Linked DNA regions of Drosophila melanogaster. The protein of the gene in region 4 purifies or fractionates together with the protein of the main gene of each other region. This does not show direct contact. Each region holds a gene or a part of one and is shown on either strand. Other genes may lie near its edges.

The links.
Region 1: the proteins of Mlc1 (region 4) and Acp1 purify together in Drosophila melanogaster (affinity purification with mass spectrometry, with the first as the bait; one large-scale study listed by BioGRID). This does not show direct contact.
Region 2: the proteins of Mlc1 (region 4) and RalGPS purify together in Drosophila melanogaster (affinity purification with mass spectrometry, with the first as the bait; one large-scale study listed by BioGRID). This does not show direct contact.
Region 3: the proteins of Mlc1 (region 4) and kdn purify together in Drosophila melanogaster (affinity purification with mass spectrometry, with the first as the bait; one large-scale study listed by BioGRID). This does not show direct contact.

What each region holds. Positions count from the first base shown.
Region 1 is NT_033779.5:7,738,023-7,744,121, forward strand, and holds Acp1 (adult cuticle protein 1), read right to left. Parts: upstream 3,516-6,099; 5' UTR 3,460-3,515; coding exon 3,454-3,459; intron 3,336-3,453; coding exon 2,934-3,335; 3' UTR 2,540-2,933; downstream 1-2,539. UniProt on the Drosophila melanogaster protein: Component of the cuticle of the adult fruit fly. Could be involved in thickening of the hard adult cuticle.
Region 2 is NT_033778.4:16,779,932-16,787,849, reverse strand, and holds the start of RalGPS (Ral GEF with PH domain and SH3 binding motif), read right to left. Parts: upstream 4,180-7,918; 5' UTR 3,968-4,179; intron 3,081-3,967; 5' UTR 2,942-3,080; intron 676-2,941; exon of another isoform or gene 363-675; intron 1-362. Other genes in the region: resilin, read right to left, coding at 4,974-5,681, 5,809-5,943, 6,283-7,302.
Region 3 is NC_004354.4:6,346,931-6,354,646, reverse strand, and holds the start of kdn (knockdown), read right to left. Parts: upstream 4,019-7,716; 5' UTR 3,912-4,018; coding exon 3,693-3,911; intron 2,366-3,692; exon of another isoform or gene 2,211-2,365; coding exon of another isoform or gene 2,166-2,210; intron 1-2,165. Other genes in the region: ND-B16.6 (NADH dehydrogenase (ubiquinone) B16.6 subunit), read left to right, coding at 4,420-4,525, 4,593-4,951; CG3847 (uncharacterized protein), read right to left, coding at 6,000-7,142.
Region 4 is NT_033777.3:27,655,597-27,664,168, forward strand, and holds Mlc1 (myosin alkali light chain 1), read right to left. Parts: upstream 4,582-8,572; 5' UTR 4,517-4,581; coding exon 4,514-4,516; intron 4,361-4,513; coding exon 4,333-4,360; intron 3,326-4,332; coding exon 3,020-3,325; intron 2,960-3,019; coding exon 2,873-2,959; intron 2,518-2,872; coding exon 2,474-2,517; 3' UTR 2,471-2,473; intron 2,360-2,470; coding exon of another isoform or gene 2,316-2,359; 3' UTR 1,482-2,315; downstream 1-1,481. Other genes in the region: unc80 (uncoordinated 80), read left to right, coding at 7,600-7,845, 8,501-8,527.

The DNA.
Region 1 (6,099 bases), on a different chromosome or scaffold from region 4:
ATGACGCTGTTGATTTGGTGTGGCTCCATTTATGAGTAAATTAGTGAGTGCACCGAATGCGGCGAACGTGTCCAATTACTCGAATCGAAATGTTTACAAACAAACACTCAAGTGTGCGCAATAAATTTGCGAAAAAAAAACATTTGAAATGGCCAAGAGGAAAGCACAAACAAATATATGCACCGTGAAAAAATGTTAGTTTGGCATTCATAGACAACCATGACATTGGATTTAACAGTTTTAAAATAAAGAAAATTAATGTAAACTTGATTCTTTACAATTTGTCTATGACCTCTGTGGACCATTAATAAAATACCTAAAGAACGGACTAAATATGGGAATGACCACAGGACGACCGTTTGGATGTTTTATCTCTCAGTTTGTTTGCTTGCGTTCAAAAGACGCAAAAAGTTGGCGTCTCAAGTGTTGGCCAAGTCTGTGGGCAGTACCTTGCCCTCCCATCGCAGTTCCAACCCATTTTCACAATTTTCCGCCCGTCAAGAAGACAATGCATACATAGATAGTGATATTGGCGCCACATAAACTCAATATGTTCCCTTATCGTCCGTTTGTAATCTCAGCCATATGAAACTCACATTTGCATTCACCTGCAAACAGTGCACTTTTCTATTACTTTCAGGCGACACGTTTTCCAATCACGCACAAAACCCCTGCAAAACTGGCACTGCGCGAGTGTTAATCCGAACCCGAATCTCGATCTGAACCCGAATCGGAAACTGCTGCGACTGCGACGCACGTTGCCAGCACGTCTGCCAGCGAACGACTGAAAACTGAAGAGTAGAAACACAGCCAGATAGTCGCCGAATGTCAGGCGAATGCGAATGTTGCTGCTGTTGCTGCTAGTGTTGCTGTTACTGTGTTACTGCAGATGTTGCTGCTGTCTCTTATCGCAGACGCTGCTGTGTGCTACTTTTACTCTTCGGGAGAAATGCGAAGAGTGACAGAAAGAAAGAGCAACAGCTGTGGTTCAATTTTCTAAATGCTCTGTGTTGGAAAGAAGTTATATTAAGTCTGAAAAAACATATAAGCTATCAGTGATACACAGATTTTATAGACTATGTGTTTAAGTAATAATAAGGCCAATAATATTACCAGAACATATTAAAATGTTCTTATATTTTAAAACTAAACATATTCTACCAAAATTAATTTTGATTACTTAAAAGAAAATTTAGCTTGCTAAGTCTCAGTATGTCAAATCGACTTCGAATTAAGATTTTTTACCAACAAATTGCTTTCGATTATAACATTAAATTAAGTGGTAATTATTTAACCCATGTCGGATCAATTTTCTAAATTGCATATAGGAACGTTCATAAGAGTACGTCAAATTCGTATTGACCCCCTGCGACTTCTGTGTGATTTTCTCTTTGCCGGTCAATTACCGGCTATTGCCAAAACGAAGCCCAGTAGGAAATTTCTTGCCATTTTCGAGTCGGACTCCAAGTAAGGGGAGACTGTCGACACGATTGACGCTTGACTCTTGGCCGCCGGCGTACAATAAATCATTGCAGTCAGTTCAATACAGCAGATTTAATCGCTAGACATTGCAGAGAAAAAAAACGTTTAATCATTTTAGGAAAATATTACAAATAAAATATTTTACCGAAATTACAGAACTTTAGAGGTAGAGCATAAAAGTTTGATCTACATATACACTTATATAATATTTAATAATAATAATAAATTTTTTATCAATTTTATTCACAGTTCTTTTCAGTGTATTTAAAAGGAGGTGTGGTGAGAAAAAGTTGAAGGAAGTTCGGGGACTGTTATTGATACACTGACGCATTTCATTCAACGGCCAAATGCGGCAACAAAAGCGAAACTAGAAACATGAAAAACAAGCGCGAGACTTTGTAAACCGCTGTTGGAACTCAAAGTGGGAAAAATAAAAAAAAGGGGCTGGCTAAGTGGGAGGGGAAAATCACGCAACAGTTGGACTCTGCTATAGCAAATCGAAAGATATAGGGGGTAAGGAAGTGCGGGGTTGATTCCATTTGATTTGTGGCTGGATTTCGCATTGAACGCAGTTGGGGACTTTGCGCATGCGCATGAACTTGACATTTCAGCATTCGATCCGATGGCTTTGCTCTAATCACACTTTATTATGGAGGAAGGGGTTGCATGCAAACAGCGTAGTGTCAATTTGAGGCAATGAGTCAATTAATTGTATTCGGAGGCGTAAATATGCGATGATAATATATTGAGAGCGAACGGGCTTTGTATACTAATAGATTGAGCCTGTGGGAATTTGTCAGGCAACATCTATTTATTTTAATTTTGGCTTGACCAAAACAAACTTTGTATACTTACATTATCATTAAATAAAGCTTTATCAAACGAAGAATATATATTATGTAATGTTCTGTAAAGCGGAAAAATTATAATGAGGAACCATCAAAGATTTGTTAGCAATAATGTTAATTTGTCGCAATTTTATTTATATGTGGGTATTTAATATTCCCAACTTCGCAATATTATTTACACATTTCCCAAAATAAAACGTTTATACTTTAGTTACATTTTCTTTATTGGCATTATGTAGATGTACAAGCATTTCCTTCCAGAATGCACTTGGCATTCCGTTCGAAGAAAACTTGTGATGGTTTTTTCACAGGATGCTTGGAAAATGTATGCTAAATAAATAGGTAAGCGAGAGAAATAGGCAACCACAAACGTGGCCGGGTGCTTAGGTCGGAAGAGAATTTTGATGACTCCTTTTTTTCGGGACAGGTATGAAAGGATCCTGTTCAGGTGCTAGGTGCGAGTACCCTGTCTATATATGGCTATATATACAATGTATTTACATAACGTGTTGAGGGGTCTAAAGTTCGACTTCCCCATCAATGGCAGTATCCGTGGCAGAGGCAATGGTCCGATCGACAAAGGGATTGAAGGCGGTATACTCCTTACAAGGTTCCGGGTGCGGGAGCGGCATTGATGGAGGCCACCGACTGGATGTGTCCGGCCAGAGGAGCGGTGTGAATGGCACCACGGGTCTGGGCAGTGTAGACGCCACTGTGAGCCACTGGGGCCACGACGACTGAGGGAGCATGAGCAGCAACCACAGCGGGAGCAGGGGCAGCAAGCACGGCAGGAGCGGCGGCGTGGATCGCTGCCGGAGGCCACGAAGCCACGTTCACGGCAGCAGGCCAGTGGGCGGCGGGAACGGCCCAGGGAGAGGCCACCACAGCGGGTCCGGAAACGGCGGTGTAGGACAGTCCATGTCCAGCCACCTGGGACAGCAGGGGGATCACAGACGACTGCACGCCCATGGCGAGGGCCAAGGTGAAGATAACGGCGACGGCGAACTGTATAATGCAAAATATATTGTTTAGTCTTATGAGTAAAACTTCCTTGTTGAATTACTAATATTAATCCAAGCTATGTTGTTGTTAATTATCAGGATAAATCCGTTTGATAACTCACTTTCATGGTGCTGTTTGTGGGTTTTGGGTTGCGCTCTGGTTGAACTCTTGTTCTGAACTGATCTGTCAACGGAGCTGCCGGCCAGTTTTATACCCAACTGCTGACCACATCAGCAATAGAAAACCGCCAAGTCGGAGGGTTCATGAAAGTGAGAGTTCACACACCATGACATGGTGGACACGGCTGACACTGCTCCGCATGCATATGATCAGCTGTAATGACATGCCTCGGATCTGAACGGATCGTATCGTATCGAATCGGATCAAACGGCTAGGTTGAACGCCTTCAAAGCGGTTGAATTCAAGAACTAGTTCTACATCTACAATACTTTGTTATTAGCTTATTGTACTAATCGAAATACGTACATTTATTTTCTAAAGAATAAAAAAATAAATGAAGAAGAGAGGATTGTGACAAGAAGTTAGGTTACCTAATTTGTATCTTTAAGGTGGGGTTTTTAACAATAACCCTCTCAAAAATGAACTAACTCGGTAGTGAACCTCTATTTCCGCACCACTCAAACATGCACCACCACAGAAAATGCATTCTCAGTGAGTGTGTTTCCATCTCCGTGGCCATGTGGGTCCAACTGTCTAAGTGAATGGCCCAACCCACTTTTCAGCTGCAGTTCCGGTAAGTTGATTTTCACTCCATCACACCGCCACTTTAATTACTTAATTGTTGTTTGTGCGCGATTAGCATTTCAGTATGATTTATAACACGATTCCAATTATGGAGCGATCCGTATCCTGTATAAGGCCGGCTAATATCTGATTTATGTGTCTTAAGGGTTAATGATATGCGAGGAACAGCCCACTTTATCGATCGATATTGAAATATAATTATGGGAAAATTAAGAGCTGAAATATATTATTCCATTTGAACAGAACTGATCTATAAATCTGTTTCTAATATTTTAAAGAGTTAATATTAAAATTTTAAGCCGAATAACAAAAAGTAGATTATAATCAATTGGACTAGTGTAACTATTTAGAATTCGAATCCAAGAGACAAAAGTTTGCAATTCGTTTCATGACATCTACAAATTCGTGTGTGCATAAGCCGCTTGTTGGCTATAAATTAACCAAAACTTGCAATTAACACAGCTGAAAGGCATTCCAGGTTAATCCGCTTTTCCAGGCTATTTCCCTAATTATTTCCACCTCCGATTACCTAATGGAATCGACATTGCGCAACATTCAATTGTCTGAAATGGGTCTGGAGCGTGGGTTACTGCAGCCCGGAACAGCCCACATAAATATATCGCAAACCCATTAGGTGCCGCAATTAAGTCAGACTTTAGTGCAAATTGAACCCAGCAAAGACAATTCAATTATGCCCAAAAAAAACTGCATGAGGGGAAAAACTTGTTTCGATGCTAATGTGGGTGAGATCGATTGTCGAGTCTTGGCAAAATCTCTGAGACACCAAAAACACCAAAAAAGTTCAAGTTGAATTCTTTCGGTGCGATGATAATCTGTAATTAGCGACTACTATAATTTACTCCATGTGCCAATTATTTTCCTATACCAGAAGCCCAGGTGCTGACTAAAATTGAAACTTGGTCTTTGTGCGATTTGTAATTAGCGCTAAGCGTTTGCATAATTAAGCATACGCCCTGTGGCCCAATACGTGCATATGATCTGGCTTTGTACCAATTAACTCGATCTAATGACCATTGGCCCCCAGCTTGACTACCGTTCAGCTGTGGCCGATAGTACTGCCAAGCAAATTAGGATTGTCACTATAATAATAGACACTTAAAGACAAAGACACATTTGATCTAGACATTCTTGGCAGATATGAAATCAATAGAACAATTTGTCGGCTTTTCAAGGTCGAGCAGGTGCAAACTAAAGACCCAAGGTTATAATTAACTAATATGCAGTTTATGATCTAGATGTATTTAATGAGAGCTAAACAATCATTCCAATATGGGATTGTTTGAGGTTGTCCAAGTAAAAGATTAAAACATTAAACATCTTGGCATATCGTACAAAAGTATTAAGCTATCTAGCAATCATAGCTTAATTATATATTGAATTGTATTTAAAAACAAGTCCAAACCTCAGATGATGCCTCAGATGAAATTAAACCTAAAATATACATTAACAGGTACTTTTATCTTTTGTTAAAGAAGAATCTCCTTAGTTGGATAGTAGTAACTTTTTTTTTAACCCCATTTTTGCAAAAACACAATATTTATGTCGTATAAAAAACGCTGATTGCTTTTATTTATAACGTTTTCGTCAATCTTTACATTGTTGCAGATTACTAGATTACAATGGGATATTTACAGGTTGACAGGGCATATCTAGGGCGATATGCCAGATAGTGATAGATATAAGAAGTATATAGTGATAGATGTAAAGAAGAGGAAGACAGGATAGCAGATGGGAAGTATTGAAAGAGTTCTCAAAAAAGAAAATTAACATGCTGTCGTTTGTTGGTTTGTTGTAGTTGTTGTAATTGCTGTTGGACTTATATATTGCTGAGTGCGTTGGAAAATGTCCAGAGGATATGGACATGGACCCAAGATCAGGATCGTGTTCGTATCGAGGGGGTTGGGACTAAGAGCGGTGTGCTTAACAATAAGTGTACAGAGAGAGATGGGTATTCATCCGGTTGGAGTAGTCGTGGGAAGTC
Region 2 (7,918 bases), on a different chromosome or scaffold from region 4:
AGCTCTCAAGTGGTCAAATGGCTTTTCGGGGGTGCAAGCCGCTGATAAAAAGTCACGGGCTGCAGCGGTCAGCGGAAAGTTTGGTTGGAAAACAAGTCACCCGTTTAGAAACCAAATTGGTTTTCAGCCCAGTTCAATGAACCCGTCGACCAAGGCATAGAAAATTAAAATTTAAATAAGCCATTCGTTTCCGGCATTTTTCTCATTTCCACAAAAACACAAAACAAAATGCAGTCGCTTAAGTGCGAAATATACAATCAAGAAATGACACAATATGTACATATGTACATATACGTTTACGTAATTAAAGGAGAAACATATTTATTTGAAATAATGAAATGAAAACAAAAGTAACCACTTACATTACGGATCATTATCGGCATGTACAACCTTCTAGAAACCACTATTCATTTATTTCCCATCATTGCACCAACCACAATACACATATGTATTTAAAATTCCTCTAAGACTGACTGTTTTGACCCCGTCTGATTAATTTCAATTAAGATATAATCATTTGAAAGCAAAAGCTGATCAAAAGCAATGACGTCCACACTTTGTCATTGGTATATCTGGGCTTCTGCCTGCGGTTTCCTTCGATTATTTTGCGCTTTTCCGTTTGAGCAAATTGAATTATCCGACTCTGAAATAACAGCGCAAATATCTCGAGACTAGTGTGGGCGAAATCCAAAAGATACATTCCCAAGACGGATGCAAATAAAATCGGTTGGGGAACGATATTGTTTTTATGCTGTTCTTATCTATTATGAATTCCATTCTAAATCGTTTCAAACTCATTGTGCTCAGTTGGGATTTAATCTACATACATATATATCTCTATTGCAGCAAAAGAATTAAAAAAATACAGTCCTATATATTTTAGATTTGTAGTATACAGATGAATTGAAAACAAATTGGGCGGAAAGGCAACAAAAACAGAAACAAGATGTAGACAAGACACCAGGCGTATGCGAATTATATTTCAAAATGCCAGACGACTGCCTCAAGATTTTGAACAAATGGACTTTATTGACTATTTGAACTATTCCATATACACATCACTTCTCTCCTTATTGAATTCATATATATGGCCATACATACATATACATATGTATCTGTATCTGCGCCAATCTGTGCCATTTTTCTTCTGGACTTCCCTTCGGCTGGTCGGCGTTTTAATGGAGATATCATCCAATGCAATTAAAGCCCAACGATTTACTTGCCTCATCTGAGGGCTCGTAAAGTTCCACCCACTGGATACAATTTAATCCATAGCATTTGTAAATAATTCCTGCCAGACAGCGCGCTCCTTTAATGCGAATTTGTAAACTTTTGATGGGCGAATGAATACTGATTGTTTTTTTTTTCGTGGTCAGGGATATGGCGAAATATGTACATATGTATGCCTGCTTGGAGGCAAAAACATCGCCCACTATATCGATACTCCCACAGAAAATTCAGTGTGTTTATTGCTTTTACACAAATTTCTTAAAAGAAAACAAATAACGCAGCTGTAGAATTCAAGGAAATCACATTTGCCTATGGGCGATTTCGATTCTTGGTTTTTTGTTTATCAGACTAGCAATTGTATTTAAATAAAATACAATAGCATATACTGACGAGCACATTTCTACATAATCTTGAGGAAACTCGGTGAGATTTCTCGTTTCTTTTTTTTCTCTTGTGTTGGCATTTTCCATTGATAAATTCTTCAACTTGTGGGTAGCACTGGAATTCGCTATGATGACAAGTGATGACTGACCATCAAGGGAATTTGCAGTTCAACCCATTCGCTGACTCGCACTGACCTCCAGCTCTAGAAGAGGGGGGTTAAAGATCTCTGGAGCAGCTTTCTTTGCCGTTCAAAAGCGGGGTGGCGAAATGCATATTTACAGAAGCGACCGTTTCGCAAGGTCAACGGCAAGCGAGTGGCTGTCGCCCGGTGATATTCGCGATTGAAATATTCAACTGACAGGTTCAATAACCGCCTCGAAAGATTGCGATTAAAACTGAATACTTAGCCTCTATTACGATCAGCCTTCGACTTGGGTTTTCTACACGAGTGGGAAAACATTTAGCTAATCTCCCATTGAAAAGCGAGGGGCGTTATCAGACAGTCGTCTAACTATTTGCTTACACATGCATGCCAGAATAAATACATGTAATTACGCTGGTTAACAACAAAGAGAGAAACTACAAATGGAAAGGTGCCAAAGCAGCAGCAAGGCAAGAAAGCCTGCTTTCGAGGATCGAAGGCGGAGTACCCTAAACACATCTTTATTTATGAGATAAAATTGGCACAATTCTATATATTATGTTATACTGATCCCATTCAGAGCCAATTTGTAAGAGAACTTTTAGCCCACTTTTGATCTTTGCAACTTTTGTCCTATACCATCCTTAAACACAACATACTCCCACATAAACAAGACGTAAATTGTTATTTATGGCAGGCCAGTGATATAGTCATCCGTTTCCGGTTCTTCCGAATTTGTATACAAAATGAAAAACGGAATTTGGGTTCTGTGCATATTTTTTCTAAACAGATGGCATTTCGATTTGAAGATCTGTTTTCGCGGAAAAACAGGTAGATACATGATTTTTGGCCAGGTAGATATGTAAGTAGTTTCAAATGCAAGATACGACTTCTAAGATTTCACCGTTGCAGCATAACGTTGCCAACTTATGCGTGCAATTATAATACCCACTTGTAGGGTAGTAGCTTGAACAAAAACAATGCCAAGGAAGGCCAAGCAATCGAGCTGGGGTTTCTTCTTTCATCTCCTATTCTCGTGTTTTGTATTTGTTTCATGAGCTGCTTATACATGTACATACATACATATGTACATGCGATCTATGGCACATGTGAGCCACCAAAGTGGGTCACTTGGTGAGCATCCAGCCAGTCGCGGAGCAGCGAGCCTAGAACTGAGCCACTTACCCAATTTCTGCGTCGAGTGGCTGTACTTAAGTCCAAGGAATAAGCATGAACAAAAGGCAATTGGAAACGGGCGAGAAACCTTGAAATGCAGCATTTCAGCATCTTGGCAACGCATTCAAAAACATCTGTCGCACATATCCTGTTGGACGAGTCCGGGCAAAACAGATGCACCGAAAGAAAATTGCATGCAGTTTGAATATTTAGTAAATACTTCGTACTTGATATGAATTTGGACTGGGGAATGTAATGTTAATAATTCGACGGTTTTTTTTACAGTAGTATACTACAGAATATACACTACATTTCCAAGAAGAGCAAAGTTGCAATTAGTACTTGCATGTAATACGAGTACATTTGGATTTTTGAACGGCAGACCACAAAGTTAATGATGAATATCACATTTTGCAGTGTTTCCATGCTTTATTTATTTGGGATACGAATGGAGCACATCGTTTTTTGCGGTGCTTATCAACAGCAGCTGGCTCTTAAAAATCCAGAGGCGTTGCCTGCGACTGCGAGTATCTTCTTATCAAGCCGCTTATCACCTGATCTAACGCCGAAAGGAAGTGGCAAGTGGGTTTCGCTGGCCGCCGCCACCCGATGATTCACATTTCGAGACATTTACGAGTATGTTCGAATATAATCAATGTTTGTTTCGCGGAGGAAATAAATCGATAGAATTGAACGCGAAAAGCGGAAAACGGGAAGCCGAACATAAACACGGATACACAGGCAGCCACTCTCACGCAATTTGCTGTCGTTTGGGGTTCTAAGCTCATTGTATGCAAAGTGTGGCGCCCACTCACCAACCAACCACCCACCACCCACTTGGGCGTAGTTTCGTAATCAGTCCCCGACAAACTACAAAAAAAAATGGCACAACGCATTGCACTTGCCACTTGGATCTTGGAGCATTTGGGGCGACAAATGGACGAAGATAGCGACGCCCAAATCCGAAATAGCAATGCATATTGTTATTTATAGGCTTTCGCCGCCCCACCTATGTAACCCGCACTTTCAACTCACTTCGAGCTCCAGCTGCTGGTGCATTTTATATCAAATAATCGATGTACATGCGATGACAGCCACTGCGTCGCGCTTTTTTAATTACTATTCACCACGCTTATTGGCTTCACCTTTCGTTCGTTTGTTTTAAAACTCGAGAACAACGAAAATTCAGCAGCGAATTAGCCGAAAACGATCCGCGCGCGACGCCGACGCCAACGTACAGTGTGACCGTGTGGCTTTTGGCTTGAAATACCACTCACGAAAATGTACTAATATAAGTCGAACGGTAAAATATGCTTCTTAAATATATTTTTTAAAGTCATTATAATTTAATCAGATTCCATTCCATATTTTTATGTATCTCAGTGTATGACTTAGATATTCATTATTAAAACTGTTTTTCAAATAATTTCTTTAAATATTAATTTTAAAATTTGTTTTGTATGTTCTTGTTATAGCAAGTTATAATTGAAATTTATTAGTACATTTTGGTTGGGAACCTGGATAACAATGTAGCATTGACTCGAGCCGTATGGCCAAAAAACTCAGTCTTGATAATTTTTTTAAATTCTTTTTTGAAACTTGTTAGCATTGATAAAAGTTTAATGCGAAATTTGATTATAATGTCCCTTTAAAGCTTCGATCTTAAATTCCAAAAATGTACATATGTATGTAGCCCATGATCCAAAATACCGACCCTTTGCCAAACAATGAAAGTCCTTAACTTTTATAAAAAATATATATGTATTTAATTTCTTTACTTACATCGGAAGTAGCTTTATCATTTCATTCCTTTTTTTGGGTTATTTTTCGCACTTGCATTTAGATCAACAGGGACTTACGACTACGAGGAATTGAGCAGGCTGAATGGATGGGCGAAAGACAGCAAGAAGTGGGATAGAATGGGCACGAATAGATGCGGAAGGATGAGGGGCATAGGTAGGGGACATAGTTCTAGAAGGACTTAACACTAGGTATTGCTATATGTTCGGGGAATCTAGCTAAATGTGTCTGTGAGTCGTTCCTAGTACCGATAACCGCTGCCATCGTTGTCACCGTTCTGACCACCGGGTCCGAATCCATTCCGGCCACCCTGACCCGGCCTGCCGCTCGAGTATCCTTGGCCATCCTGACTATCCTGGCCGTTGCCGCCTGGCCGACCACCAGGACGACCGCTGGAGTAGCCATCACGTCCAAGATCCTGACCACCGGGACGTCCGCCGGAGTAGCCCTGATCACCGCCATCCTGGCCGCCTATCACACGTCCACCGATGATCACACGACCGCCATCGGATCCACCGTTGCCATTGCCGCCTGGCCTACCATTGGAGTAGCCGCTGGCACCGAGGTCCTGTCCACCTGGACGTCCACCGGAGTAGCCGTCTCGACCCAAGTCCTGACCTCCAGGGCGACCACCGGAGTAACCGCCTGGTCCCAAGTCTTGGCCGCCCGGCTTGCCATTGGAGTAGCCACCGGCGCCTAGATCCTGACCTCCTGGACGACCACCGGAATATCCACTAGGTCCCAAATCCTGGCCTCCTGGACGTCCACCGGAGTAACCGCCATTTCCGTTGCCATTTCCATTGCCGGGACGTCCACTGGAGTAGCCATCGGCACCAAGATTCTGACCGCCAGGACCTCCAGGACCGCTGGGACCACTGCCATCGTTGGCATCGCCTTCGTAGCGGATCTGTGGCCGGTAGCCCTGCTGGTCGGCTTCATACTCCACAATCTAAGAAAGACAAAGAGAAAAGAGAACGAGATAACAATGTTAGCCGTGACAGAAGGATGAGGTGGTGGAGCAGTGGGTGGATCCACATCGCCTTCTGCTGCCCGCCATCGCTGCCGCCGCCGCTTACTTGCTTCCTTCCGTCGGGCAACAGGACATTGTACTGGCCGGTGGTGAAGTCACCGTCGCGCATCTCTGAATGCCCGAACGAGAGTCCGCTGGGCGCGTCCTCAACCTGGTAATTAAATTCGTACTTGGCGGGCTCCTAAACGCCGTACAACGGATCATGGAGCATGGAGCATGGATCATGGACAGCGGATCATGGAGAATGGAGAACGGATTGGGGCGTGTGGAGAAAGAGAGAAACACAGAGAGATAGAGTGTCTGGGATCAAGAATTCAGTTTTCTATGGGGATGCAAGCTTTAAACGCCGATGGCTGTGCAGGTGAGCGATAACGAGTCTACCAAAGATTTGCAAGGGCAAGTGTGCAGCGGTGTGGGCGGTGGAGCGGTGTTCCCTTGTGGTCAATTCCACCCAGTGATCCCCGTATACAAATCCCATTTTACCATATACCCTATTTGCTAAGCTATCTCAAACACTTACATCGTTATCGTAGTCAGCGCCGCCGGGTCCACTGCCTCCAGCGCCACCTGCTCCCGATCCAGAAGCTGGGGGTCCGTAGGAGTCGGAGGGTCGGCCACCAGGTCCTGAGCCTGGAGCTCCATAGCTGCTCGAAGGACGTCCGCCGTTGCCATTGCCGCTACCAGGGGCGCCATATGAATCTGATGGTTTTTGGTTCTGACCAGGAGCACCATAGGAGTCCGATGGACGACCACCAAATCCACCTTGGCCCTGACCAGGAGCTCCATAGCTGCTTGAAGGACGACCACCGCTGCCGTTTCCGTTACCGCCACCAGGAGCGCCATAGGTGTCAGATGGACGACCACCGTTTCCACCACCAGGAGCGCCGTAGCTGCTTGAGGGACGACCGCCATTATTGCCGCCACCAGGAGCGCCGTAAGTATCCGAAGGACGACCACCGTTTCCACCACCGGGAGCACCGTAGGTATCCGAAGGACGACCGCCGTTTCCACCGCCAGGAGCACCATAGCTGCTCGATGAGCGACCGCCATTTCCGTTGCCTTGTCCTTGACCAGGAGCTCCATAGCTGCTTGAAGGTCGTCCGCCGTTGCCATTTCCACCACCACCAGGAGCACCATAAGTGTCCGATGGGCGTCCACCATTTCCGCCACCAGGAGCACCGTAGGTATCCGAAGGACGACCACCGTTTCCACCGCCAGGAGCGCCATAGCTGCTCGATGGACGACCTCCGTTGCCATTTCCACCACCAGGAGCTCCATAGGTATCTGAGGGCTTGCCTGCATATCCACCTTGTCCTTGTCCCTGTCCTTGACCCTGGCCTGGAGCGCCATAGCTGTCTGAGGGCCGTCCACCGTTTCCACCACCAGGAGCTCCATAGGAATCCGACGGCCTGCCGCCGGGACCACTCTGACCCGGTGCTCCATAGCTATCGGACGGAGGTAGATACGAGTTAACTGGTGGCTCCGGTCGCCCAAGGACCACCATTGCCATGAGCAGCGTCAAGCCGAGTAACTTGAACATATTCCACTTGTATCTAAAGCTGAAGCTGGAACTGAAGCTCGGTCTACGGACTGATCGAAATCTTTGGGATGAGACTAGCGCTTGGAAGCAGCGCCGAATTCTGACTGATCTGTGGTAGCTGCCACATGGCGTATTTATATGAGGCAAAACCGAAAAACTGAAAGTCTAGGATGCACACACACGAACTCGACTATGAGTTGGAGGTGGCGGTTTTGTGGAGCGTGTGGCAACCAGCGCAACAGCTGCTGCTGCTGCTGTTGCTGCTGATGCAGCTGATGAGGCTGCCACATACGATCGTCTTCAGAGAAGCGGTGGCTGATTCTATGCGGTCGAAAGCAAAAATCTCAATCACTGAGCTTGCTTGCCAACACTTCACCACCCCGATCTGCGCCAGATTGCCACGTAAAGGGTGCCTCGGTCTTGGGTCTCGGGCTGATTTGCCTTCTTTCGGTGCACATCTTCTCGAGGCGCGGCGAGGTGGTGATTGTGCCCGGGCCCCAAACCTTTTTGCATCCGCCGTTGCGTTGGCCCAAAGTAGTCTACTCGGTCTACTCCACTGGGTGAATGTGTCGGCGGCGTCTGCCGCGGCTCACTCTCCCAAGCGAGTGGTTCAGTG
Region 3 (7,716 bases), on a different chromosome or scaffold from region 4:
TCCATTATCTCTCGTATCTCGGGACCCTCGAACTTTCCATGACGTTTAAGAAGGCGGCGTGTTATCACGCGCATAACTAGAATTCTGGATTGGCATTAATCCAGGTGGAAAAAATGGTCCACTTGAGCTTTGCCCGCTGGTCATAAAATCCCTATTTAGATTCGCTAATCAAAAATGCGCACCGGTCGTAAAAGCTAATGTACAAATTGTGTATAAATTATGCATTTGCTCTTATGCAATCGCTTGATCATCTGTTTACTTTTTCCGCTCTCTAACGGCACTCTTCTTACTTTCCACTCTCTCTTTCGCTTACTCTCTAATTCTCTGTCTCTCCCCTCTTGGTTTGTTTTGGAAAAACAAAAGGAAAAAGGCTTGTGGGCGTTACGTAAGAGTTGTCACGATTTGTGACGTATTAGCGGAGAGGCGTTAAAAAATTTCGCGTGTTGCCATTTCGTCAAACTACGTCAAACGCAAATAAAACAGCGCTTTTTTGCTTTGGCCTAAACACTTGGCAGAAATATGTGGGTTATTGGCCAATTTGCTGCATATAAAATATGTAGATATATTGCATGTAATTGTTGGAAGTGGAAAACAAACAAATTAAACCTTTTCTACTGTAACATTTACAAGAATTATTTATAGACAAAATAAGCAAAAACCTAAAAGCAGAGAAAAGAAAAACAAAATTAAATAAAACGCGTCAGCACCAACATTTTTTTGGCACTCGGCCAGCGGCGGCAGAACAGGAAGAAGAAGATTTGGGGAGTGTGCATAACATTTGGGGAATCTACACGGCGAGAAATAATTGCAGCATACATTAATAATTAATTTAATAATTATCGCAGACTGCACAAATAACAAAATTGGGTCAAAATTACACTTGTAATTACTGTTTCCCTTGATTTTAATTTTAAATGAAGTTATATGTATTTGATTGTTCATATATGCATTATACATTATTATAATTCTGTTATTATTAAAGGACACTTTCAAACGTTTGTTTGTTATTAAAGTTGCCGCATTGACCTTAATTTCCTTTTTTGCCTGTGTACTTATTACCCCACGCAGGTCAAAGAGAAAGCAAATCACCCCCGAAAAAAATCAAAAGGAGGCTCGTCCTGCAAGCCCTTTTTTGTGTGTATGTGTGCACGCCGTGGGTGTACATTTGTACGTACGTGTGTGTGTGTGTGCTATTGATTTTTCTCATTACAAAATCGCAAGTACTATTCTTTTTGTCATTTTTCTCGTTCTTGGCATTATGCAATCCGCTCACATGCAAATGTGCATTGCCGGTGGGTGGTAAGTGGGCGTGCTGCTGCTCCTCCTTTTGCTTTAAGGTCATTCGGCGGACACTTCTCTTTTGCAAAAGAGAGATGGTGTGTCTTCCTTCTATCGCTTTTGGCAACAACAAAAGCACAGCATAAGCATAGTGACACGCATGAGAAACGAAACGGGAACGAATGAAAGGGGAAAATGGTATTCTCTGTTTTTTTCTCTGCTCTCTCTTGCTCGACCAACTCTCTCTGCCTTACGCTCTTTTTCTTCACTTCGCTCTGCGCCGTGGCATTTGTTTTTGTTGTTGTAAATTTACAAGAATAAGACCCAAAAAAAATCAAGCCGGACTTGTGGAAATTTACCAAAAAAAAATTTAAAGCGGGCGGCCCAAAAAGAGACAAAGTTCGTTAAACCCACAAAGAATATAGAGATTTTTATTTATAGGCATTCCGATGTTGCCAAAAAAAAAAAGAAATGGGCGAATTTCATTTGGCGATTATGTAATGTATTAGAAGACACACATACACACAGGCACACACATACGTACGTACATGCATACACGTTAGCACTTATCATTCGCCAACAACAATGAAGAGAATAAAGTTCTTAATCGCAAGCACATGTCTGGAAATTCTTTTTTTTTCAATTCCAGCGTGACGTGTGTTGAAGAAGAAGAAGAGGATGGGAAAAGAGGAGTAGGATCAGATGAGGGATGGGTTGAGGAAGAGCGAAAGGGAGGGGAGAGGACGAAGGTTTTAACAACAGAAGCGACACACTTTACGGTTAGCTAACTGGAAGGAGGTGGATAGAGATCCCAGGAAAGCATGGGAATTCGATACACTGGTCGAAAAGCAAAGGGGTAATTCGAAAAGTTAAAATGAAGAACTCACCTGTGCCTCGGACAATTTCCGTGCGGAAATGCGATAGAGCGACATGGCAATGCGATTACGTACGGCTGCGAGTAGAAGAAAAACACTTTCGCCTTGGCTAGAAAAAAACACACACACAGAAAAAAATTTGCTTTCCTTTTTCTGGAAGTGAAGTGTTCTTTTCGTGGGTCTCTCGTCTAGCAGCTGCGCGGCAACTGAATGGCGCCAATCGCATTTTCTGCGGGAAGGGGCGGCACGAGCGCAAAGAACACCCGCTAATTCCCACGCAACGGCGTTTTCCGCTCTCCCCCAGAAAGGTCACACTTAAGGTGGGCTGCCTGCTCTGGTACTTGAAAAAAAACGCCCACGCAACTTATTTAATTGAAATAGATGTTATATGCTTTGGATGCATTTTTGCTCTACTAAGATCCATATAAATTGACATTTGCTCGAGTGCAGACTAGTTTTCAATTCCAATTTTAAAAAAGTCTATTAGCTATCCCAGTCGACACCCCCCATTTCCATGCATTTTAAACCGCTCCCTGACATTGTCTGTTTGCTATAGAGTATAAATACTGTCGTGTGAGGGAAATATCTTTTTATTGCGGGAAAATCAAACACCGACTTTTGTAAAAAATAATCATATTTCAACTGAAGTTTTATAATAAAGCTTTGCCGAAAAAGGCCACAGATCAATAAAAAGTTCGATATTCACGAAGACGTTTATCATCATAACTTTGTTAAAACTTGTCGTACAGTTTACAATTTAGTAGTTTTAATTACTTAGTTTTAGTAGTTTTTTTACTTTTAGTAGCGAATTCGCAGTGCTAGGATTCCTACCACTTTTTGAAGGATTTAGGGAAATTAATTTTTGGGTCAATTTTTTTTTTGTAAGGGGTAACATCATCAAAATTTGCAAAAATTGGCCAAAAAATAGAATTCCTATTTTTTGATACAGTTCGACAGGGAATTTAAATACGAGCTCGACGAGGTATTGCATTCCGTATTCAGACAATTATTTTTAAAGTTATGGCAAAAAAAAACTGATTCTTTTATGACGGAAAATCGAAAAAAATTATTTTTGCAAAAATTACAAAATTATAGATGGGCATTTTAATCATAACTTGACTAAAAGTGATCACAAAGCGAAAAGAATAACTGTTTTGAGCAGCTAATTGCGAAGGCTAACCATCCCAATCACTTTTTGACCGATTTGGAAAAACTAATTTTTTGGTAATTTTTCGCATTTTTTGTAAGGGGTAACATCATCAAAATTTGCGAAAAATGGTCAAAAAATAGAATTTCCATTTGTGGATACAGTTTGATAGGGAATTTAAATACGAGCTCAACGAGATATGGAACTCCATATTTGGACAAATATTTTTAAAGTTGTGGCCAAAAAACTGATTCATTTTTGAACGAAATTTGGAAAAACAGATCTTGGCAAATATTAAATAAAATTTGTTTATGGTCATATGGTCTTGGTCACCTTTCTCGCTGTTATGGAAAAATCAGATGAAGGGAGATTTATATTAAAAGAAAACTCACTTGGGCATCCTGCATATCAGGCATGTTCAAGGTTTCCGGAGTCGCCGATTGTTGCTGCTCCTTGAGATTGCCAGTCACGTTATCCTTTTTGGAACGCATTCGGAATGAACTTGGAGTCCCAATGGACTTCGAGTCCCACATAGAATTTTTAGCCAAATAACGTCGTTGAAAGGCAAAATGATGGCCCAAAGAGCCATTTCCGAAACGGCGTACGAACATTACTACTTTTAGCTGTAAATATATACGATATTTCGAAGTTTCTAGTTCGCTTTTTCTCTTGTTTTTGGGAATGTGAAAGCTAGTGATGTAGGATACAAAAATTTATTTTGACAGGAAAGCGATTGCGATAAATATAGGGATGGTATCAAACAGTTCGGAATACTGTATATACTGTAATACCGTATAAACGTTTGCACGTTCTACTGTGACTTGTTGTTGTGATTGTCTTTCGATAATAATATAATATAAATCAAATAAATTGACTCAACTTTTCACGTTAGAAAATATTTTTCAACTTCGTTTGCAGTATTCGCCACTTTTTGGTATATTTTCGTCACTACTTGGTATTTTACCCTGCCCCAAGTCAGGCCACACTGCCTTGGTGTTATGCAAAAAACGTCATTTTTTTGACAATTCAACAGATTTTTTCCCTTTATTCGAGCGTAAGTCCCAGTTTACCGGCCAAACAGCCGACTGATATATACTTTGTACCACAGGAGGAGTCACCATGGCGACGGCAGTGCCGCATTGTCCCCCGAAACAGGACCTTCCACCGCCGGGCGGCTACAAGAAGATACCCTTTGCCCGCGTGCCACCGAAGAGCTACTTCACAGGTGAGCTCCTCCAAATCCCATTGATCTAACCATATATGTGCTGGTAACTATATCAATCCCTCGGCAGGCTTCACCACCATCGGCACCTATGTGGTTGTGACAGCCGTTGGCCTGGGCATCTACTACTTGACCGCCAAGAAGGTGAAGCGCGACGAGATCGAGATGCGTTCCGCCCAGAATGTCATCTTTCCCATTTTGGTCGCCGAGCGGGATCGCGAATTCCTGCGCCAGTTGCGACGCAATCGGGACGAGGAGGCCGAGCTGATGAAGAACGTGCCCGGCTGGGAGGTGGGCACCTGGTATGGTGAGCCCGTTTTCAAGACCCTGCCCGAGGATACCCTGGTCACGCCCATTTTCAAGGAGTTCTACGCCCACTCCGACTGGAAGTCGTACGCCAAGCGTGCCCACTTGAAGCTCTGGTCCTAAATCGGCCTAGTTAATGGATTAGTTAATGCCTAAGCACGCACCTTTTTGTTTGTAGATCATCCGCCTAAGCGCCAAAAAAAGAAAGTATCGACCAATTATAATGTCAGATCAGATTGGCTGAAATACCGATTCTCTTTGTGTGTGTTTAATCCAAATCCTGTGCTGGACCACCCGAGGTAGCCAGAGATTTTTACCAAACCGGGGGCGTTGCCGTCCAGCTGCAATATAGCCCACGGGCAGTGCTCAAAAATGGCCAAATTAGATGGATTTGGTGGCACCAACAGCGGGGAATCCCAGTTGGCTGTGTCACCAAATTAAAATCTAATTGAAAATCTGCTGCTTAGTAAAAATAATAAATTCACAACATAAAACACTACGAAATGCTTATGATTCAATAGGGATTATTAAAATAGCAATGAAGAAATCTTGAGCCATTGAAAAACATTCTTGATTTATTTTATTTTTATTTTTTATTGAATTCAACATCGATTTGACGCTCGTTTTGTGTGTCAGTATTTGGAGTTTCGGGTTATTACACAATAGCGGGTGATCGTGAGCTCTAACATTAAGTAGTCGTAATTATAAGTAAGTAATATATATCTATACATGGGCCATGATCGACATCCGTCGACATGCTTTTATCTTCAATTGTAAACCGCAGAGTTGGCCTGAAATCATATAAAAAAAAAAACAACTGTGTGTGTGGATTTGTGTACAACTAGGTAAAAGATAAACCCTTTCCTTTGGAATCGCTTGACGACAGTGGCCCCCGTTGTGGCTCCCAAAAAATACAATATGGGTGTGGACTTATGTTTGCGTGTAGATAAACAGCAGCTGCTCCTTTCTCCTGGCCCGGGCGGCTAGTGTCCGAGTTTTGCATGGGCGAATCATTAGAAACTAGCTCGTGCTCCAGCTAATCCTACTGCTCCTAATCTACGTACTCCTGCTTGATAACAACGTAACGCACTGGCGGCGGCGATTTCTGCTCATCACGCTCCGGCTCCAGCTGCTGCCGACGCCGCCAGTGCTCATCACGTTGTGGCCGCCTCTACTTCATGTCCCTTCGACGCTTGATGCTGCCATCGCAGGTGGGCAGATGGCGCTGTAGGAAGCCCTCGAAAACGAACTTGCGGCCGCAACGTACGCAGCTGAACTCGCGCTTCTCCTCCACCTGCTGCTTGTGCTGCCGCAGTGCCTCCGCATTAGAGTACTTATCGCGGCAGGCGTCGCAGGCATAGCGTCTCTTCACCTGGCCAACATCGAAGACGACGGTGAAGTTCTGCGAGCAGAAGGCGCACTGGAACTCCTTGACGACCACCTTCTTGCCGCCGTGCTGGGCGGCCAGGGCCACCGCTTCGGCCTCGAGCTTGTCCTGGTGCTTGTGCGACTCCATGTGGGCGGTAAATTTGCTCTCCTCGACGAACTTGCGATAGCAGCGGGTGCAGCGGAAGGGCTGCTCGCCCGTGTGCCGCATCATATGCTCCTTGAGGTAGGCAACCGAGTTGAAGACCTTGCTGCACACTTTGCACTTGCGTTCATCGGTGGAGATCTCGTTCCTCTGCCGCAGGCAGGCGCGCATATGAAGCTTCAGGGAGCCGGCGGCGCTGTAGCAATTGCCGCAATTGGGACAGTAGAAGGTCTTGTTGCGACCATACGGATCTTGTTCGGCATGGTCGATGGTACTCTCGAACACAATAGAGCCCACCTCGTCATCTTCAACCTCCAATTCGCCGCCCTCGTGGTCGACGGTGACAAACTCATCGTCATGCTCTACCTCCTCGCCATCCTCGAGCTCTTCATCCTCCTCGACCTCCTCGCCATGAATATTGGGCACAATATGAAGGATGGTGTGTGTACCATCGCCCTGTTCGATGGTCTCCTCCTCGACGGTGCTGTTCTCGACCAGCTCCTGCAGGGTCACCGCGTGACCGTTCTCATCGATAATCACCTCCTCGGCATTGACCAGCGCCTCGTGGTCACGATCGCTGAGGGTCACCACCGCAGTTTCGGTGTCATCGTCGTCGCCGGTGGTATAGGCATACGTATATTGCGTCTCCTGGCCGTCATCTTCTTGAACGTGCTCCTCATCCTCCTCGGGCTCCTCCTCGGGATCAACCTCGGTATCTTGCTCGATAAGCACGGGCACGATCTCCTCCTTCACCATGGAATACTTCACGCGCTTGGCATTCATATCGAGTTGGCTTTGAATAAGTTTTGATCACTTACGACCTGTTTTGGCAAAATCTGAAGATCTGAAGATTTCACAGTAGCCTTTGATTTTCCTACTTTAACAATATGATTTTTTCCCGGCGACAACCCTGCTTTGCCTCTGCCTTTGCCTTTGCTTTTGCTTCTCCCTCTCGCACTCGGCTGACGCGCTGTCTCTTTCGCACGGCTGGAATTAATATTGAAATCAAATTCGAGCACCTTATGGCCCAGCTGGATTCGGTACTCAATCCCCGCCTGCTTTATTGCCAACTTCTTTTTGGCGGCCTTTCGCTCTGGGTTTTTTCCACAATAGTCAACACTATGCGTTTTGCAATTATTTGCCGTCCGTCACGATTCTACTTTTGTGGCAACTTCGGCCAAGATGGTGGACACTGGAAGTGGAGCTGCATGCGGTCTGGCCCGCCGCGTCAGCGATTTTTTAGTGCGTTTCTCGCATTTGGTATTTCCCGATGACCGCCGCCTATCGGCACTGTAATCGGCGCTGTTATCGGTAGCTTCCGACAAGCTGGCAGCGCCGGCCGCTTGGCGCGCATTTT
Region 4 (8,572 bases):
GCATCGGGCATCAAGAACAATTAAAAGCTGCACTCGGCCGTCGTGTGGGTGGTTGATGGCTTGCCACAGTTGCAGGTCATTAAACCGAGAGCTGGGATACCACAATGCACAATGCAGCCACAACTTCCACATCCTGCCGGCAGTCGAGCCCCCCTTTGAGCTGCGCCCCAAAAGCCGTAAACTTGCCGGTCTAAGCGGTTACTCAAACAGATCAAACACACACAGAGCGCTGAACCGGCCAAATCTATTTGCATAATGTGGCGGGCATGACGTGAGTCTTATGGCCTGCATGCTCGCCTGACATAACCATCAATGTCCTGGGGTGTGCCGGCAATATAATTTGCCTAATTGAGCCATAGCCATCGCTATCACCGCTGCAACTGGGCTACGGAGGCGTGCCTTGAACTTTCCTAATTGATTTTCTAAAGCACACGCGGCGTATGCGTAATGCGCTGTGAAGTCACTTTTACTTACTAAATTCAGGTAAATACCACATAACTGCACACATAGCAAGGTAGTTATATGTTTTGACACTTAACTAATAATAATTTCTATATATATGGTTTAATCTGAACCATTTCTTTTCTGTGTATCTTGCAACGCCCTCACCTTTTTGATCCTGATTAGCCCTCGCATTTGCTGGCTTCTGTTGCAGTTGCTGTTGTTGCGGCTGCTGCTGCTGCAGCTGATGGGGTGGTGGTTGTTGCTGCTGCGGTGGTGCTGGTGGTGCGGCATTTGCTGCTGCTGCTGCTGCTGCTTCCTGTTGCAGCTGCTGGTGGGGCAGCGGTGGGTGGGGGTCGCCTAGTGGTGGCACAGCATCCAGCAGTGAGCTTTTCTCCAGGACATCCGCCATATTGAAAGTCGAACGAGTGTGTGTGTGGTGTGTCTGTATTTGTTGCACTCACGGGAAAACTCGAAAAGGACTACAGATCTGTCGGTATTTTTCCTGTGTGTGTGTGTGTGTATCTTTGGGCTAGTCCTTTTCACTTGGAATAATATATTTTGGGTTCACTTTCGATTCGAGAAATGCTCGCGGAAATATATTTTGAAACGGCGTAAATGACAATATTTATATTTTGACTTGGCGCACTCACGCTCACTTACTTCACTGGCACTCTGCTAATTTATTTGGATTTTTGCTGGTGCAAATTTTTAAAAAAAGCGAGACAGCTCCCGCTCGGTCGGCTTGTCGGTTTGTTATCTCGATTTCAACTGATTCGTAGTCGTCGTATTTAACCGAAACTTTTCTGACACTTTTTTGATTCGACGTCGACGCAAAAGCTCAGCGGAATCTCAACCCCCAAGCTATTTTTGTGATTAGTTTATAATTGTTATTGTTGACTAGACGAGGAAGGTAGATACCAGGATGCGGGTATTTCCACCCCTTCTTACACTTACTATTTTAATATAATAAATAAATAATAATTACGAAAGTAGAGACAAAAACCATATTAACCAAGCTCTAAGCTTAACAAACATTTCGAAAGCTCTCTCTCGTTGAGAAAAAGCGAAAACGACATTTTAGTACACGGTATTTTAGTCTTTCGCCTGCTTCTCGTTGGTGGTTTGTGTCTCAGCTGAAGTATTGCAGTCTGCGGCGAAAATATCTAGATATTTCTTTGTGGATTCAGTATAAGATTTTTAAACTTTCTCTATTACTTTTAGTTTATTAAACAAGTCAGCCACATCTTGTATTAATATTGGCTGCCTATATAGCATAATCCCAAATTTTCCACCACCCTGATCTTCTTTTATATTGATTGTGCAACACCTCATCGGCCGCACAATTATTCTTAGTGTTTATTTAAATACATTTGACTTATTTCACTTTCACACATTCACTTGGTAAATTGAGAACGCAAAAAGGCCACAATTTACACATTTGGCGTTTTGCTAACTGCCCTTTTTGGACGCTTTCGGATGTTGAATTTGCCTAAACATTATATTATTTGCTATTTGGTTTATTCACGTCTCATATAAAATAATCATTAACTATTGCTTTGCTTTTGGCTGAACCAACAAAATAATTCATAACAAAATAATGTGCACAAAACTTTGAATATTTTTCAGTTTTTTTGTTTTCGTTATTTTATAATTTAAATTTTTTTATTTTTTAAAAAATAATATTATCTTGAAGTTCAATTTTGCAGTTGTAGTAGCAGAAGTAATTTTTAATTAAAATAATATACGAGAGAGATAGAGAGAGTTAGCGATGAATATAACATCTATGGAGAATGGTTGTCGCTAAAAGTTTGTTGGTGTTGTTGTTGTTGTTGTTGTTGTTTGTTGGTTGTTGTTGAAGCTGTTGTTTTCAACTATTTTAGCTGATCTGGTCTGTCACACATTCTGGCGAGGAATGCTGTGGAGTAGACGAAGAAAAGGGCCATATTAGCAAGGTATTCCCCAAATTTGTTGGACAAGTAGACATCCAGAGATCGGCGAAGTGGCCATGGGCTCCATCCCTACTTACTGTTTAGTCGAAGACGACAGGATCGCTCATCAGGCGCTGGACGAACTCTGTTTTCATTCAATTTCAAGTGGATCGGCGACAAACGGCGGGTAAACAAGACGCAATCACCGTGCAGAGACCATACGTTTGACATTCGGGAGTTGGTCGGTTTTTTTTTTTTTTTGCGAGTGTAGTGTTGGAGGAATGGACACGCAAACATGGATACACGCATACACATATTTTTAGGTTTGTTGGTGTTTTTCAGGTCGAGTTGGTGGTACAAAGTGCACAGTGCAGAATGGTGGGGATTTTTTTGGTTTGTGCGCAGACAAAGAGTGACATGTGGAATAGACAAACGGCGTTTACAAATCGTATATGCACAAAAAACATTAGATGAGTATCGTCCATTGAACGAATACTTACGAGAGTAGGGGATAAATCCTTCATCATCCTCGGGATCCATGCAGTCAGCGAACAGGGTCTCCACCTGCTCGTCATCCAAGCTCTCACCTGTAATGCACACAATGATTTAGAGGGATATCCCAGGATATATGCATGTTGATTACTCACCAAGCGCCAGCAGGGCGTGCTGCAGCTCAGCCAGCAGCATGGTGCCGTTCTCCTCCTTGTCGTAGAGCTTCAAGCACTCAATGAAGTCCTCGTAGCAGCCCTGCTCCTTCTCCTTCTTGACCTGTGAGTAGATGGGCAGGAACTCATCCAGCTTGATCTTCTTCTCGTTGCGCTTCTTGGTGCCGCCCAATTTCTCGATCAGCGCCAAGGTGGGGTTCAAGTTCAGAGCGCGGAGGGCATCACCTAGGTCGACGGCATCAATGCCCTCACCGGGGGAGCCCATGACTTCGAAAACGAATTCGACATCTGCGCAAAAGGAACTCGATTAGCATTTACATCTTCATGTTCATGTTAGTCGATCAAACGTAAATCCCATCAAATTTTTGTTTTTATTCGTTTCATTTTATTATGCTGCCTCATTAATTGTTTTTAAAAATACTTTAGCAGAGGTGGGTGTTGACCACCCTTTTTATTTTCGAAAACGGGGTCGATGTGGTAACCCTGAAATTTCTGGTACGCACATTTTTGGTCATCATGAAAATCTTGACATGGCTGCTGGGCATTGCCTACTTAGTGTGTGAGTGTATGCGTGAGTGCGGATCTGGGAGAGTTGCCAGCCCCGAGAACACACTACGTATACGTAATCCGACACCCGAACCGAACGCCTTCGCCCTCGTCTGCGCTATATACACAGTATATAGGCGTATATACACACACAAAGTCGCATAGTTTGCTCATCTCTTTCGCTGTGCGTTTGATCGAAAATAAATCTAAAGAAATAACTTGGCCAAAATTAGATCTCTAAACGAGAAGCATTTCGGCTCGAAGACGAGGATCGCGCGTTCGGGTTCGCGACATATACACACACGATTTTCATTGTTTTCCGCGGCTTTTCTATAACGCAAATCAAACTTAACTTTGCACTAGATTTTCTCTACCGGAATTGTGTTGGCAACCTTTATCCGTTCTGGTTTTGGATGGTCGATCGATGAAAATAGCTCAGGCGATGCATATAGACGACAGCATTCCTTAATGAAAATTTTCCGCATAGTGTTATATATATAGGCATGCGTATATGTATGCGATATATTCCAAGTGATTACGAAATATGTTCACCGACTTTTGTGTACTTTTTGTTGTGTATCTCACACGCGCACATTATGTAATCTGTATTTTTATGGATATTATAATACTTGTTTTTAGTCCTTTCTGCTGGGTTTTCCGTTACCTCGTTCATTTAATATGTTGGTTTAACTTTGATGGATTTCGTTTGAGGTTAAAGATAATCCTTTTCGTGCGGGGTTTTAACTTACTTTCAACTTCACGCTTTGGAACATCAGCCTGTCAACGGAATCGAAAAAGATTTGAGAGTTTGGCATTAGTTCGAGTGTGGAAAATCTTCAGTTTTCAGCTGCTGCATATATTTATGTACATCTATATCACTGGATATTGGTGGAAGATGTGTGAAGACTCCTTGGCCGACTGGGCACTCACCATTTTGTCTGTTTGATGCGAAAATCAACTGTATCGCGGATGAGCTCGGTCTCGACTGAACGTTATTCGTCAGTGGCAGTACGGCAAGGTAATTCTGAGGTGAAAGCCAACCAGCCGATCGCCGAGCACTCAGACACAGATACAGATACATTTACAGCTATAGCTTCGAAAACGAATTCAAAAACGAATACGAATACGAATGGATGACGAAACGCTCGCTCTTTTCCTGCGCAAGGCTATACACACACCAAAATATATGCTGTAGTATGTGCGATGGCAAGAATTTACTTTCATCTTGGGGGAACTTTTTCGAATGCCACTCTCTTTTGGGATCCCATGGATCCCAACGACCACCAGATATTGGGAGGCTCTCCTATGGAGCCAGAGCCATTTGTTGTCCGCTCTCTAGCCGGGCTATTTTTAAGCATTTTGTTTTTTTTCGGCTATTCTGTGAATATTTCTTTTTATTTCGTTCGTGAAGGCAAAATAATAATCGCTTGTGGCATTCCCAGCCGGATAGTGTTGAATATCATTCGATGTTACAGATGATTTTGCAGATAATATAATATTTTCTCATTCAGGCGGGAGGAGAATGGGTTTGAGAATTGATTGTTTAGCGCTGCGCAATAGATTGAGCTTCCATGCTGGGGTTTTACGGGGTATGTTTAGATGTTTAGATGGGGCTATGGGGCTATGTACTATAAATGTGGCCTATACATGTATATATTTATACACTCATCGACCCTGATCGTCTTTTTGGCAAACGTACGTATTTCTCAGGTCTTGCCTGTTATCATTCGAAATGTTTTGTCAGCCGGTCGTATGTGGGGGTGTTAAATGGCCGATTTCTTGTTTGTCCGCTGCCAGAACACCTGAACACCAGCCTTTTTCAATATTTATACACTATACATGCTCCAAAAGCATACTATTCCTCGTTGGCATCTCATCTACATAGAAGGCGCATTACTGGCCCCTCAGGCGCCTTCTTGTGCCTTGTGTGTGCCGCCTGTACAACATTTTAATGCGTGCTATTTATAAAAACTATGACACAGATACATGAAGCGTATTCAGAGCAAAAATGTACAGCAACAACTAAATGCTCGAATTGTTTGCATAGGCAAATGGTGGGTGGTAGGTATATAATGACCGATCAAGCCTGAAGGGTAAGCGAGGTGCTTAAAAGGCGGCAAATCTGGCAAGGAAGTGGCAATTAAGCCAAGCAGGCCATTGGCTTTGCCGGCACATCCATTTCCATGCACCCATGTCCTTGACTTTCTATGTAAATGTAGATGTACACACGTCCATGTTCGTGCCATCGGACAGGTCCTTCTTTGACCCAGTTTTGAGCCCAGCTGTGTGCCCAACTTCCGGCTGATGCTCATCAGACCCACTCTCTGGGCTGTCCTGTCTCGTCCTATCTCTCAATCCATTGAGTCCTCGGCTCGGCTTTTGGCCGCGCAGCCTCCCTGGCCTTGTTATTGTTTACTCCTTGGGGCACCACCTGTTGTCAAGCGGGTAACTGGTGCATGAGTATTTAGGCCGATTTGGTCCTTGATTGAACATCTGCTATCAGCAGCCGATTGTTGCCACGAATCTGCGCAGATTAATGTGCGCAAGTCATTGATAAATAGCCCCTTGAGACTGAAATTGTGTGCTTGTATTTATAGAACTCATTTCTGTAAACAACATTTACACTAAGGGCTTTTTGTGCTGGTAATCAAGTTATTTAAAATATATCTCAAATGCTTATCTTAAAATAAGATACAGAAAGAACTTGGCAAGAACTTAGCAAGGATAAAGCGTGCTTAATCAGCTAGAAGATTAATTAATGAACAAAGGCTATGGATTTAATTTCCACTCAAGTCCGAAAGGGACAGTGACTTATTTTTGGCCATTACTACTTTAATACTACACTATTTATTCGCAGTCGCAGTCCCAAAGACTCGTAGACAAAGGAGTACTAATGGCCACCCCACGGCGTATACGCAATGCCCATCCTCAGGCATTTGTTATCATTGATAAGTGTGCTTCGCAAACAGGGTGTCCCGATGGGAGAGTGTGTTATGGCATGCCATAACAAGTGCAAGGACACCCCTTACACGGAGAGCAGCCTTTTTTCCCGTCCATTCAGTGCGTATACTTAATACTGAGTGCGGGTGGTTGTACGACTCTCTGCGTTTGTGTGTGTTTCTCGGCAAAATATCCTGTATACGCACTGCTGGCCTGCTGCTGTCGGCATTGGAAACGATGGCAAACGGAGGACGCGGCCGGCTGAGAGGATAACAACGACGGGGAGCTCAGAGCTCGTCAGTTAACGACGCTTGTCTCAGTTGCATCCGAACGCTTCAGCCGTAAACGTTATCCGAAACTGGCAACGCGCAAATCAAGGTAAGCCCTTGCAGAACTAAAAAAAAAAAAAAAAAACTACTCGTTAGACAACAGAAAAAAGGGCAAAAACGGAAAAATACACAAATTGAAATCAAACAAAAAGTGCTTCAGTGTCCCTGTTCGGTCGCCAGCCCATGAAAGGTTCTGCAATTAGTGACGACTGTCCAAGGAGCCCAGCCCAGTTGGTTGAAGTGAAGCCATTTCCACTGGGTGCGGCACCAATCAAGCGAATCGTTGGCCACGTTTGATTTGAGTGTGTGCTAAGTGCCAAACAATTGATCGTTCCACCGGCGATTAATTGCGGAAAAGTGAAATTTTCCACAATCCCAGCTCGAGTTATATAAGTCTGTGAAAATTTTTGCCCCAAATTAGCATGTATACCAGAAACCCAGTTCTGTATCTATAACCCAGTCGCCTCGTTCTCGCCGCTGATGCGGAGTCTGCGTTCTGCGCAGCGTCCCAGGACCGAAATCTTGGTAGGTTTTTTCGGCAGCGGGGGAGTGCCATGATGGCACTGACCTAGTCGCTGGGAAAAACAAATTGGAAATCAACAGGAGCAGCGTGTTGGGCCTGCGCACGCAAACACCTGTTGCACATATGCTAATGCCCCAACCCGTCTTGGTTTTATGAATGGCTCGGCTCAGCCAGCTGTTGCACGCCATTTGATTTGTGTCCTTGTGCCATTCCAGCTGGCCACCATGGTGACCAATGCCGCGGGGACAGCCGCAACGGGAGGAGCAACAAGCAACACGACCAACAACAACAACCTGCAGACGAACAACAACAGCCATGGGGCGAACAACAACAACGATGACTTTGACTTTGACCAGGATAGTGGACTGCAGGACCTCGGCTTGCCGGTGTCCGTGCAAACATTCCTATGGCGGCAAATAGCGCCCTTTATCCGGCCCAAGCTGGGCAAGCTGCACGAGTCTACCTGTCTGGTGAGTTTGGCCAGTGAAATGCCAACAGCATTTAAGTCAATTGCCAAAGATAGAAAACGAAAAGAGCTAAGATGGCCAAGAAGTGAGGAACCATTTTTCCCCCACACAAATGGGTGCTGTATATTCGCTATGCGTGTTTGTTGTAAGGATGGACTGTGTAACATACCGAAACCCAAAACGATTGGCATTCAGATTGGCGCAAGCAATTCGTCGTATTGAAGCCCAGAAATTGTGTTCAATGTCTTCTACTTTTGATTTCACTCTGCCAAAATCATGGAAAATCGGAAGCTAAATTTGAGACCTAACTTTGATGTTTGATGTTTTATATACTTTTATGCATTCGATTTATATTTTTCTTTAACAACTACTAACACGGCCACCTTCCTTCACAAACTGAACAACAGACCTGTCTTCCATTTACACCAGGCTACCAGGAAAAGTTTCATACCGATAAGAACATAGTTTTATTGCCCACCCATAAAAGTATGCTTCACTTTTTGCCTAGCTTAATGTAGGCTTGGAAACTTTTCCTGCGCCTGTGTGTAGTACATTCAGTATGCTTTATACACAACCCAACTAAAATCACAACTACAATGACAAACTGTACAAATTAACATTGTAAAATCTTTCGCAATTTGTCTGAATCTGAATGTAGTTTTGTCAACATGCACCGGGACACCATGTAAGTTATAAATGTTTGTAGTAGCGATAACCCCCTTATTTTTCC